2 linked regions of the Caenorhabditis elegans genome follow. The protein of the gene in region 2 interacts with the protein of the main gene of each other region in a pairwise test. Each region holds a gene or a part of one and is shown on either strand. Other genes may lie near its edges.

Region 1 (7,594 bases), on a different chromosome or scaffold from region 2:
TGTCGAAATTAAAAAATATGTATGATAAATTGTAAATTTCAGTAATTTTCCTTTAAATTTCAAGTTTTTCTCATAAAATAAATAAATTTAACTTTACCTCTTAAAATTGGAATTTCACCTTTTTCTCTCAAAAACGAGGTTTTGAAAAAATCAATTTTTTGCATGTGAAAAAAAACATATTTTTTTGAAGTTCAAAAGAAAATTACAATTTTTCTTTTATTGTTCAAAAAAAATTTTCTTTTTATAGATTTCTGACGGACAAAATCCAATTTTATTTAAAAATTTTTGAATTTCAAATGAAAATTATAATTTTTATAGAGAAAACTACGATTTTACTCTTTTTTATTTTCAAAAACGGATAGGTTCAAGATTTCGGAAAAATAATTTTTTAATGTGAAATTTTTTAAACATTCTGAGTTTTAGAAACGTTATTTTTTATTTAAAAAATTGATAAGAAGCCGTCAGGTTCCGAGTGGAAAACACGAAAACTTGTTTTTTTTTTAAATTTTTTAGCGGAAAATCAAATTTTCTTTCAAAAATTTAGAACTTTGAAGGAAAATTGCAATTTTTAGTTTTATTTCAAAAATTTATAAAATTCCTTCAAAAATATATACCCATTGGTTGGGGATTCCTCGCGTTTCTCCAATCCCATCGACGACCATGCGGACAGGGCATCGTACTTGCGGCTGAGAATTTCTGAAAAATCCTTATTTGTCATTTAAAATTCTTATTAAAATTCGCAAAAAAAGCTTACCGTTCTCCATAATATCATTAAGCGAGTTGTTGGTTCCCCAGTAGTCGTAGGTTGGCAGATCTTGTTTCGCCGATTGTCCTCCTCCCAACGATGGACGAGAAGACAGTCCAGTACCGGAAAGAGATTCCGGAGTCAACGAACTACGCATCGATGGGAAACTGCGGAGCAACGCGTCCAATCCCAACGAGCTCTCCATTCCGAATGGCGACGACGACATCTCCTTCTGATTGAACGGATTACTGTTGCCGAATGCTCTTCGATAGAACATCGATTGTTGCTGAGCCTCCTGCATTTGTTGTTGAGCCTGTTGCTGCTTCTGCACCATCAACGAGACACCGGCCAACTGTCCGGCAAAGTCATTGTCGGTTTCTGGAAGATTTCCGGTTCGCTGGAAGATGTGCGTCTCGATCTCCTTGCGGGCAGCCTCGACGTTATGTGGGAGGCCGGTCACCTGGAATAGAAATAGTTATATTTTTGTAGTTCTCGCAAAAAACTTATTTTATTACGGAAACACAAAATTCCAGAAATGTGTATTGCGCAACATATTTGACGCACTAAATATCTAGTAGCGAAAACTACAGTAATTCTTTCACTGATTACTGTAGCTCTGGATTTACGCGCTCGATTTTCGAATGAATTTCTTTTCGTTTCTTCATATTATTTTCTCATTTTCTTCTTAAAAATATTTTTCCATCGATAAATTTTTTAAATTCATTTCTTAGAGCACGTAACTCGAATTTCTTTTTGTTTCTTCATATTATTTTCTCATTTTCTGCTTAAAATTATTTTTCCATCGATAAATTATTTAAATTCATTTCGTAGAGCACGTAACTCAAAACAAGCGCTACAGTAGTCAATTTTATGAATTACTGTAGTTTTTGCTACAAGAGATTATGCGCGTCAAATATGTTGTGCAGTACACATTTTCAGAATTTTTTGTTTTCATTATAGGAAATATGCTTCCGAATTTTTGTGAATTTAAATAGTTTATGTTTTTTTTTTAATTTTTCAATAAATGTTATTTCCAATATTTTTCCCCAATTTTGTACGTTTTTCTCGGACTCCTTCGCGGAACTGTGTCATTGAGGCATAGATCACAATCTCTGATTATCGAGATGGATATCAAAACGACACGCGACCTCTGTCACTGTCTTGTGAGAACTTTTTCGGTGAGAAAATTAGAAGTTTTTGAACCAAAAATTGATTTTATAAGTATGGAAAATGCTCAATTTATCTGAAAATAAAACCTTTGAAAATTCAACAAAGATCTCAAGTGCACTATTTGAGGTATTTTTGAAATGTTCAAAACGAAACAATTCTATTACCAAACTAGTCGGACATTTTTCTATATTTCCATACCAATTATTCATTTGAGCCACGAACAAAAACGACAATTGGTCTTTTTAGAACGCATATAATATCCGAGGTGAAGCTTCTGTACCTTTCCCTCATATTCTCCCAAACATCATGTAATTCCTTCCCCGCCTGGCAAATCCATCACCTCCTTGTCTCGTCCAGGGTACCGGAGGCATTTGTGTCAAACGGACAACTAAATTGGGAGGAATAACGATGAGCGCACCGCACCGGGGCAAGATGTCATGTACTAGTGGGCCCGCACTGTCAACACATTCACAGTTCGTCCGGCGACCCAGAGTAGTGGGGGATGATAATTACCATTGTGAGGAAGGAGGAAAAAGGCCATGCGGATACGGTAATTTATGTCGCCACACACACACACACACACGCATCTATAGACACATACGGTCAAAACCGTCAATTACATAACCCTAATATGATCTGATTACTGTTCAAAAGTTCGGAAGCCTTCCTATAGAAACAACAACGACCTTTGTTCGTCATTTTGAAGTACCCCTGGTGCTGCCACAAAATGTTGCTCTCCCTGAGCCAACGGTGCAATAAAACCAAGCATATGTGCAATTTGGCGCCCGCCCCGGTCATTTAATTAATTGAGTCTCTTTGTCATCGCGATCCCCCCCCTTTTCTTCACCCTACTACCCTGTTAGATGGAATGAAAGAGTTGGTGCGTGTGTATGTGGACTCCCCATCGCGTGACTCTTGGCTCCAAAAACCCGGGCGGCCCCATCCATCGGTAATTCGACTAATCTACTGTGTGCTGGATGTTTCTCAAGGCGTCATTGAGCATCAAACTGAGATATCTCATCAACAATGATATTTTGCTGCCAAGAAGAAGAAGACGACATGCAACATTAATCGGTCCCGCGGGGGGAATTCTACCAAATTAAAAGATTCTAATCATCATCTCTCAGTGAAGACCCTAAACGGCTCCCGAGGAATTTTTAGCATTTCGGATGGAAGGAAACCGTTTAAAATTCACACCAAGAGGTCACAAGCCCTTCCGCTGCTCGTTTCGGCGCCCATGGTTGCTCTTTATTCTCTTTAGAATATCAATTCCGCACAAGTTTGATTGTTTTTGTTTGTTTGCCACAGCAGTGGCAGCCAATTCACAACTGTACGACCTCGAAAATCGCTCGAAACTCGGTGTCAGGAAGAAAACAAGAGACGGCCGAAAAGAATTGGGTATATCACACCAGACACTTACAAACACACATGTGTTTTCTGTCTCTGTCTAGGCATTAGGCTCCCCTTCTTGCAGTGACGAGGAAAAACAAATAATCGGAATGAAAGATTGACAATGGTAATGGGGACCTTAAAAATAGAAATTTGTAATGAACAACTTCTATGTAAAACTCGAGAGAAGTGTGTCGCAGAAATCAAATCCTGATGAGGTTTTCTAGAATCACGGTTATCGCTGAGACTTTCAGAATGATATATTTACAAACTTTGCTACAAAACAGCCGATTTTCTTATGAATTCTCCCCATTTTACAATTTTTCTAGATTACTTATATGTAAAAATCGAGGAAAATTGGAGTTGAAATCGGTTTTTATACAGAAATATTTCAGAAACCCCGCCGATTTTTAAATTTTGTTAATTTTCAGCAAAGCAACAAAAATTGGACCAATATTATGAAATAATAGCATGGTCTAATTATCTAACTTTTCTTAGTCATAAACTTGAATTTTTCAGTCAAAAGTAGATTTTCAGCACGATATATGCCATGGAAAAGCCGATTTTCAGTATTTTCTAAGCCGAAACTAGAAACTTCTCTGTTTTTGTTAAAAAGCATGAAATTGCTGAGAATTTTGCTCCAAAACTCTATGCTCTCCAACAAAATTACCTCAAAAACGGGCTCCCTTTCTCGGCTCGGCGTAATGATGTACGTGTGGGTGTCCTGTTGAATTCGCTTGATAGTCGCTCCTTTCGGTCCGACGACGAGTCCGACAACTCTTAACGGAACTCTGACATAGCTCGTGATCTGTCCAGGTGCATGGGCTCCTGGAACAACTGAACAAGGCGCTCAGGAACCGGCTGCCTACGGTCACCTACCTTGTGTATGTCTTCTCGACGCACGGATCTGTGTGAAGTGCTCGGCGGCGCAGTCGATCTCTCGTTTCGCCTCGTTCACGTCCTCCAGGCGTCCGGTGACCACGAAAATTGGATCTTCTCCGCGAACCGGTGTCTTGATGTAGGTGTTGGTCTTGGCGCGCAGTGCCTTAATTTTGCAGCCTGAAAATTTGTGGAAACTGTAGATTTGACTAAAAAGGCAATTTTTACCTTGACGACCAACAATCTCGGCGACATGCTCCGACGTCGGAACTTCCACGGACTCTGTGACATTTTGCACGCCTATCGACGTTCTGTAGTTGAGAAACTGCGCAATATCCTCCGGATCGCTGACTGGAGAGCACGAGGCAGTGTCCTCCTCGTAATACCAAGCCCCTGGCAATTTATAGGCGATTTGTTCTTCCTTCATTCTGAAAAATGGTTATGTTTGGGCGAAAATCGATTCAAAAATCGAAAAATAGAGGTTTTTCGGAATTTTTAAGGATATTTTCGATGAAAACCGCAGGTACCCATGTAGGAAGGGCAAATGGAGAAAAAGCGACAAAACGAGGCGCATATGATGAGAAAGACAGACGGGCAGCGGTACGCGCGCACAAATGGCAAAGCAGTACACGGACAAAGAGTGGGGCGGGTGGGTGACGACAGGCAACACCAACTGGTGTGTGTGTGTGAACGCGACAAAAATCCGAAAAATCCCGCCAAAAGAACCACCAAAAATTGAAAATTTTCGGCGCCGAAAAAATGAAAGAAAAAACAGAGAGAGTACGGTATCACTCATTTAACGTGTGTGAGATAGTGTGTAATTTTGGGCCGCCGTGTTCACGTACAATACGCGGAGGCGGGGCTTGGATATCGTAGTATTAAGTGGGAAATTAAATACAGTTTTTTTTTGTGTTTTTTCCAAGAAAAATGAAAAATCGAAAAAATTGTGTTTTCAGATATGAAAAATTGAAAATTTTTGTATATTTCAAAAAAATCGATTTTTCGAATGAATTACTTGAAATTTTGGTCATTTTTTAAGCAGTATAAACGAACAAATTTCGATTATTTTTGCAAAAAAAAACCGAAACTTTTTCCACAGCACCTTTGAAATTGACTCTGTTGAAAAAGGAAAAAAAATAGCGCATTTTTTCAAGTAATCTAGAAAAGAGGTTGCGATCAAGAACAAGGGTAATAAAAAGGAGGCAGGCGTGTAACAAAAAATTCGATCCTTTGAATTTTTGAGGAGGAAATCTTTTTTTAAAAAAGGAGAAAAAAATTTGGATTTTTAACTTTCTCACGAAAATTGAAGGGTGAGGCAAAAACTTAATTGCGGTTCGAGGTTGTTTCCAAGAAGACTTTTCCCCTCTTTTCCCTCTTTTCTCTCCCTATTCTCTTCTGTATGTTAAATATCCGACCCACTTAAAAAAAAGGAAGGCGAAATTTCGAGATATTCTGTTTGAATGGCAACACGTTTGCCGATTTTATACCAGTCATCCTTGAACATTCCGTCTATTCTCGCAAGGCCATTTGAGGCTTTTTTAGAAGCGGATTTTTAGAGATTTGGAGGATTTTCAGTGGGAACATTAATCAAAAAGTTCAAAAATCATCCGAAAATCACGAATTTTGAAAAGAAAATTGGATTTTTTTTCGTGTTTCTTAGACTGTTAGCTTATTTGCCGAAAACTCACGGTTTCCAAAATTCGGCGTCGTTCCACGTGTTATGCCCGTTTGAGAAGCCTTCTGGAAAAATTAAAAATTTCAAAAAAAAACTTCAAAAAAATTGCTCACCATTTCTCATAGAAAAAGGTCTAACGCTCACGACTGGCATTTTACCTGAAAATCTGCGATGTTTTGGGGTTAATAATTATGTGGTTGAAAAAAAAATTGATAAGCGGAGAAATTTGTCACCAAAAAAATATGGAATTAAAAAATTGCAATGGAAATCAGAGAGACAAAAATATACTACGGGTACACAAAATTATAAGAATGCGTATTGCGCAACATATTTGACGCACAAAATATCTCGTAGCGAAAAAACAGTAATTCTTTAAATGACTACTGTAGCGCTTGTGTCGATTTACGGGCTCGATTTACGAAATGAATTTTTTTGAATTGTCGTGTTTTCTTTTAATATTTTATCTGTTAATAAATAATTTAATTAAATCGGCATCAGTGCTACAAAAGTCATTTAAAGAGTTACTATAGTTTTCGCTACTAGATATTTTGCACGTCAAATATGTTGTGCAATACGCGTTTTGGGAAATTTGTATTCCTGTAATACAAAAACGACAAAAACGATCCGTCATAATCAGCGACCAAAGAAAAAAAGAAAAGACAGTGGGCTCCCAAAAGGGGGCGGGGACAGTTAGAGGTTCAGAGAAACCGATGGTGGGGGGCGGGTCTCTTTTGTTGTTGTCGTGCAACATTTTTCGTCCAGGGGAAGAAGAGTGAATAAGGAAGAAGAAATGCAAATTAAGGTGGTAGAAGGATGAGGATACGGTACTTTGGGACAGAAGAAACGAGAAAACAATGGAATTTAAAATGAGATTTTAGAAATGTGTAGATGTAAATGACATATTGAAACTGGTCATCTCGTTTTTTTTTGGCAACACTAGTTTCACTTTTAGGCCAATATTCAAGGGGCTACAGTACCCTTAAAGGTACATACTACTTCTCCCATAAAAAGCGGCGGAACGTCGAAAACAGGAGAGCGGTTGTTTTTTTGGAAATCCGATCTTCCGTATATTCCACGCCGAATCTGTTGGTGTCAACATTACAACAAAAACAATTTGTTTGCGTTTTATACGTTTTTTTTTTCGGTTTTTTTAGAGGCCCACCACGATTTACACAAAATTATGCACTCATAGTGCATCGACGAAAAGCAGTTTTTGAAGGGTTGTCGGTTTAAAATGTAATTTCCAAATAAGCAAGGTGCAGAGTGTCCAATAACTAGAAAATCTCGAAACTGTTTTTTTCCCGAAAAATCGCTAAATTTCATTTTAAAATTATCATGTTGAATCGATGAGAGCAGAATGTCGTGGAATTTCAAAATTTGGTTACAGAATGCGCCGTTATAAAGACAGATATTGGTCCTCTCATGGAAAAATCAAAAAAAAGTAATTTGAAAAAAATACCATCATGGTGCATCGAGAACAACTGAAATGAGAGTATTCGGCGGAAATTCCAAAGTTTCCAAAGAAGATTAAAGGTGCATGTAGGTCTCAAAAAACTTTTCCGAGAAGCAATTTTGAAATTTACTTCGAAAACGTTATAGTGCGTCGAGAATGAAACTATTTGGGTCTCGGAGTGATTTTTTTTCTGAAAATCGATAAAAACGTCATGGTGCATCGCAAAAATCGCTACCATTCTTACTCTAAAGTTATCGCCAAACAGCATTATGGTGCATCGAGA
Region 2 (4,961 bases):
AAAAACTACCATTAACTTTTTTGCGCGCGAAGACCCATCTGAATAAATCCGTGTGCCTTTGTGAAGGCATGTCAGAGTCTATTTAAATTACGATGTAACTTTCTACGTTTTTATCTTCAAATTAAATGTTCGTAGAGCCTATCAATCATAAAGTTTAAGAACTATACTTTAATTCTGAATCTAAAATAACTTTCATTGATAGTTTTATATTTTTATTCTGAATATGCGAGAATAATCTTACTAAAAATCTATTCTCATAGCGATTTCTTCGAATCTTACCTTGTAGTCCTGTAATACTGCTCATTAGTCGGTCGAAGTTTCGAACGGACAGTCTCTCCCGGGTAAATTGGAAGAATGAGAGGTGGGCGCCGAGGCAAAGGGAGGTCGAGACGAAAGAGATGGAGAAGCAGATAGTGTGACGTAGAGATGAAGTGCGGAGAGAAAACAGACAGTGACACGCAAAGCAGCTGATGGGTAGGGAAATGCGGACAATTGCAAAAAAAACAGATGTTAATGTGCAAAAATTTTTATTTTCGTTAAAAATAAAAAGTGGGAAAAAATGAAATATAAAAAGAACATTGAAATTTGAATGTATCGAAGTAGAATATAAAGGTGGATATAAAATTGTTACAAGTCTCTCACATTGAAGAGATCAGAGAATTTAAATTAGATGTTAAAATTTATGGGGAGACGAGTTGATGGCTCAATATGGACGGTATCGGTCACCTCCTGGTGGTCCTCCTCGTCGCTCGCCACCACCACCTCCGGATCCTCCATCTGGTCTCGGGGCTTGGCATTGATTGCATTCCTAGAAGAAAACCCGTGTTTTTTTTTTGAAAAAACAAAATTAACTAACTCTTCTGAAAGCGAAGTTGCTATTTCCGCACTGCTCACATGGCCAGTCATTCTTCCTTTGTTCCATATTAGCATTTCCGCCACCTACTCCACGGCCTCCTCTGAATCCTCCACGATCGCCACCACGGTCGCCGCCTCGGAATCCTCCACGATCTCCTCCGCGGAAGCCTCCTCTATCACCACCTCGGAATCCTCCTCGGTCTCCGCCACGGAATCCACCGCCACCACCGCGACCACCATCGAATCCTCCACGACCACCGCCGCCGCCATATCCTCCACGATCACCGCCAAAGCCACCACGTCCTCCCATAGGACCACCACGACCACCTCCGAAACCGCCTCGTCCACCACGACCACCTCGTTCACCTCCTGCATCAGCGCGGAACTTGGCTAGTGAAATACTCATCGGGCTTGAGCCGCCAGGGAATGGTTGCCCATTGTACATAGTTATAGCTTGTTGAGCTGCAGAAGCATCGACGAATGTTATCATGCATTCTCCTTTTGGTTCTCCGGTGTTGCGATCGGTGTAAATCTTGATTCTCGGTCCGCGATCGTTCTTTGCAATATCTCCGCAGGTACTGAAGACGTCGGCGATGTAGGCTTCATTTGCACTGAAATATAGATACATTTTTTAATTGGGCGATTACAAAACATACGTGGTGGAAATTCCCTGCACAAAGACGGTCTCCTTCAACTCAACTCGCCCATCGGATCCGAATTCGCGGTTTCCTGAAGCAGCACCACCGCCTCCGTATCCTCCTCCACTTGGTGGTCCGTCACGTCGGGGTCCTCTGTCTGCAATGAAAATATGAAAACTTTTACAAACAATTTTTTCGTCCAACTGTCAATAATATAAAGCACAGGAACAAGTATTTTTATATTCGTTTAATGTTTTTTGTTTTTGAATTTCGATGATAAACTCGGTAGGATACCCATTTTTTTTTAATTTTGGTAATAAACTCGTTGTGGTACGAAAGATAAAGCAATTTACGTATTCAATACCTTGATAACCTCCTCTTCCTCCTGGAGGTCCGCCCTGTCTGCAAAACATCATTCTTGAATGGAGTCTTCTGTCTTCTTCTCTCATGCTAACACCACAGTAAAATGTTTTCAGATTTCGACCGCGCAATAATACACCTTCAATTGATTTTTTTTTGTACGCACAAACACGATCATTTAGATTTTAAGATTTTTCAAGCATGAGAGATTTCAGACAGAAGCATCTCCTGCACGCTCGAAGTCGTTTGGTAGACTTCATTTGTTCTTCACTCTTGACTCGTTTTGATACCGAACACACGTAATAATAGCTGAACTGCATAATATTTTGAAGGAAACCGGGCCATAGCCCTACAAATCGATAAAGCACAATGAATTTGTGCTTCATTGCGGACACTGACCTTTTTTCATGAAACTTACAATGACGGACACAATACATTACTCTTCGCAAGTTTTTAATAGTGAATAGATTTTGTATATGAACACTGAATACTCTGAACTCTGTAGCAGTTTCGATTTTCAACACAACACAACAATTTTTGGATGGTTAAGCAAACGAATTTGGAAATACCGCATATTGCTAACGAAACATTCAGATGTTTACCTACCGATCAGAGTTTCCGTCATCCCATCGGCTCCCACCTCGGCGTTCTCCGTCGTAGCCACCTGAAAAACATGGTTTATTATGAATACATTAATCAAACAAGAACAAACCTCTACCACCACCACGTCCTCCGCGATCACCGCCGTAACCTCCGCGTCCTCCGTCGTATCCTCCACGACTTCCGCCACGTCCACCATCATATCCACCTCCTCCACGACTGCCTCCGAATCCTCCACGGCCGCCACCTCTACTTTGCCCGTAGGGGTCAGATCCTCCGGATTGGCCTCCGGATCCTTGGCCGTATGGATCCGCTCCTGGTGGTGGTGGTGCATATGGATTTTGCGGTTGTTGTGCTTGGTCGTGGCCTCCATAAGCAGCAGCGGCGTACGGATCCTGCTGAAATTTAAACTATGAAACGTCTGTGAGCCTGGTGGTATTCAACAGCAGAACTATGCTCCTGAACAATTCTGAGCAAAGCCATGATAGTGAGGCGATCAGCCCACAAAATCTCATATACTTACATCAGGTTGACCTCCTGGTTGTTGTTGTTGTTGCTGTTGATAATAGGCCCAATACGCCTGCTGCCCTTCGGGTGTGCTGTAGTCGGGTTGACTTTGGTCGTAAGCCGCTGAAATCGATAATGTTTTCAAATAACCGGGAAACAGAAATGGCAACGCCCGTGATTTGTATTCGGGAGCTCCCACAAATTCACGCATTAACCTAATTTATAAAACATGAATGGTGTTAGGAGGATAAATAAAATACTTTCAGTGGACACTCGGATTTCGATATTCCAATAAGAAAACGACTATTAAAAAAGAAACTAACCCATTTTTGTCGATATTCAAGTCGAGGCACTCGCTACGTGTCGATGCGTTGACTGAAATTTATCCTTTGAAGAGCAAATATATCTTAAAATTAAAAGAGAAACGAGAAGAGAATGGTTGAGGACAGATGCTGTTCAAAGAAGACGGAGAACGCTGTCCAATACGCGTCGCGGTTGTGCGTCGCGTGTAGTCTCAATGGAGCGCGCACATTTGCAGTTATATCTAGATATATCTGGTTGTAGCGAACCTTGGCAGATTTCAGCGTTCTGCTCCAAAAAACTAAATTTACTGAAAAAAACAATTATACTAAAAAAAATACTTTTTAAAAAACTCCATCTAAAACTTTGATAGTGCTCATCACAAGATTTGAGCACTGCAGGGTAATAAATAGTATACATTTTAACAATTTTGAGAAATTAGGTCGAGGAAAATGAAAAATAAAGTTAACTCAAGAACAAAAATTGCAACAAATGATTACAATTTTACACAGTATCCTCGTCTCGAAATGCGCAAGCGCGACGATTGCTGGCGCGTTTCGCGTGAAATGCTGCGTCTCTCACATTTCCAAGTCTCTCGCATTTCCTTGCTCATTCTAATTCTCATCATTTTCTTCGAACAAGGTTGATTTTTTTTTCGTTTTTTTGTTTCATTTTCATGTTTACATTGCTTGTATTCGGTTTTTCTAAAATTGTATTCACTTCTTTTGAAATATTTTCATGCTGTACCCCAATCTGAACCCATTCACAACCCGTTTGTTAGTTTAGGCAATTGAAAATTAGGATTCACGCTTATCATCAACTCAAAACACTTTGTAAGTCGGAATTTAGAGATCATTCATGGCTTTTCTGCTCGTTTAATTGATTTAATCGAAAAAAAAACATGTGAGTGAGAGAGAGAGAGAGAGATGTACTATAAAAACGGTTTCCTAGAAATGTTTGCTGTCACTAGTTTCTTTTATCGGAAATATAGTTGATGTTAGCGAAATAGTCGATCATCAACTCAGCGCGTAGCTTGAGAGACATCACAGAAGAAAATCGCGTCTCTGTTGTCCTGAAGAGCACATGAAACGCTTCCATCCCTTGTTCTGAAGTACGACCCCAAGTTCTTTTTGCTCTAATGTAAGGCTCGAGGTGAGTACAGAGGATGTGAAGTTTAGGAGTGACTCCCATCGAAGGATGAAGAATTCTGATGTTTCTCTTCAAGTTCTTCAAAGTTTTAGCGAAATCATTCAAATCATCATCTGTGAAGACTGCGTTATTGCTTGCTGACATGAGTGACGCCAAATCATTCATGAAGTTTCTCATATTCTGGATCCAACTACAGTCCGTGAAGACTTTTAGTACTTTGTCAATGTTTTCTGTCCTTAGTAGTTGGCGAACCTAAAGATTAGAATATTTTCAAATACCGAAAATCACAAATTTACTTGATTTCCGGTTAATCCCTGATAGTTAATTTTTTGACTACAGCCAATATAATCCAAAACTTCCTCGAGTTTCTGTTTTGTTGGCCCAGTTCGAGTCGAAATAGCCGTTGTCATGTCTTGGCGAGCAGCTTTCAAGTTACTAAGATGGCTTGTCTCGTGTTGTAAGCGCCTGGCAAGCTCATCAAGTGCCTCATTAGCATGTTCAATCATTTCCTCATTAGAAAGAATATGTTTTTCTTGACATTTTAAACAAGCA

The links. The genes of interacting proteins can lie anywhere in the genome.
Region 1: the proteins of fust-1 (region 2) and mex-3 interact in a two-hybrid assay, tested with the Caenorhabditis elegans proteins (one large-scale study listed by BioGRID).

The regions. Positions count from the first base shown.
Region 1 is NC_003279.8:125,714-133,307, reverse strand, and holds the start of mex-3 (K Homology domain-containing protein), read right to left. Parts: upstream 6,024-7,594; 5' UTR 6,012-6,023; coding exon 5,972-6,011; intron 5,924-5,971; coding exon 5,872-5,923; intron 4,612-5,871; coding exon 4,412-4,611; intron 4,364-4,411; coding exon 4,184-4,363; intron 4,142-4,183; coding exon of another isoform or gene 4,133-4,141; coding exon 3,975-4,132; intron 1,206-3,974; coding exon 755-1,205; intron 697-754; coding exon 615-696; intron 1-614.
Region 2 is NC_003280.10:7,151,026-7,155,986, reverse strand, and holds fust-1 (RNA-binding protein FUS), read right to left. Parts: upstream 3,336-4,961; 5' UTR 3,288-3,335; coding exon 3,284-3,287; intron 3,084-3,283; coding exon 2,977-3,083; intron 2,852-2,976; coding exon 2,566-2,851; intron 2,518-2,565; coding exon 2,460-2,517; intron 1,896-2,459; coding exon 1,858-1,895; intron 1,651-1,857; coding exon 1,512-1,650; intron 1,467-1,511; coding exon 857-1,466; intron 809-856; coding exon 704-808; 3' UTR 515-703; downstream 1-514. Other genes in the region: C27H5.2 (TAR DNA-binding protein 43 N-terminal domain-containing protein), read right to left, coding at 280-304; T07F8.1 (Zinc finger PHD-type domain-containing protein), read right to left, coding at 4,227-4,661, 4,706-4,961.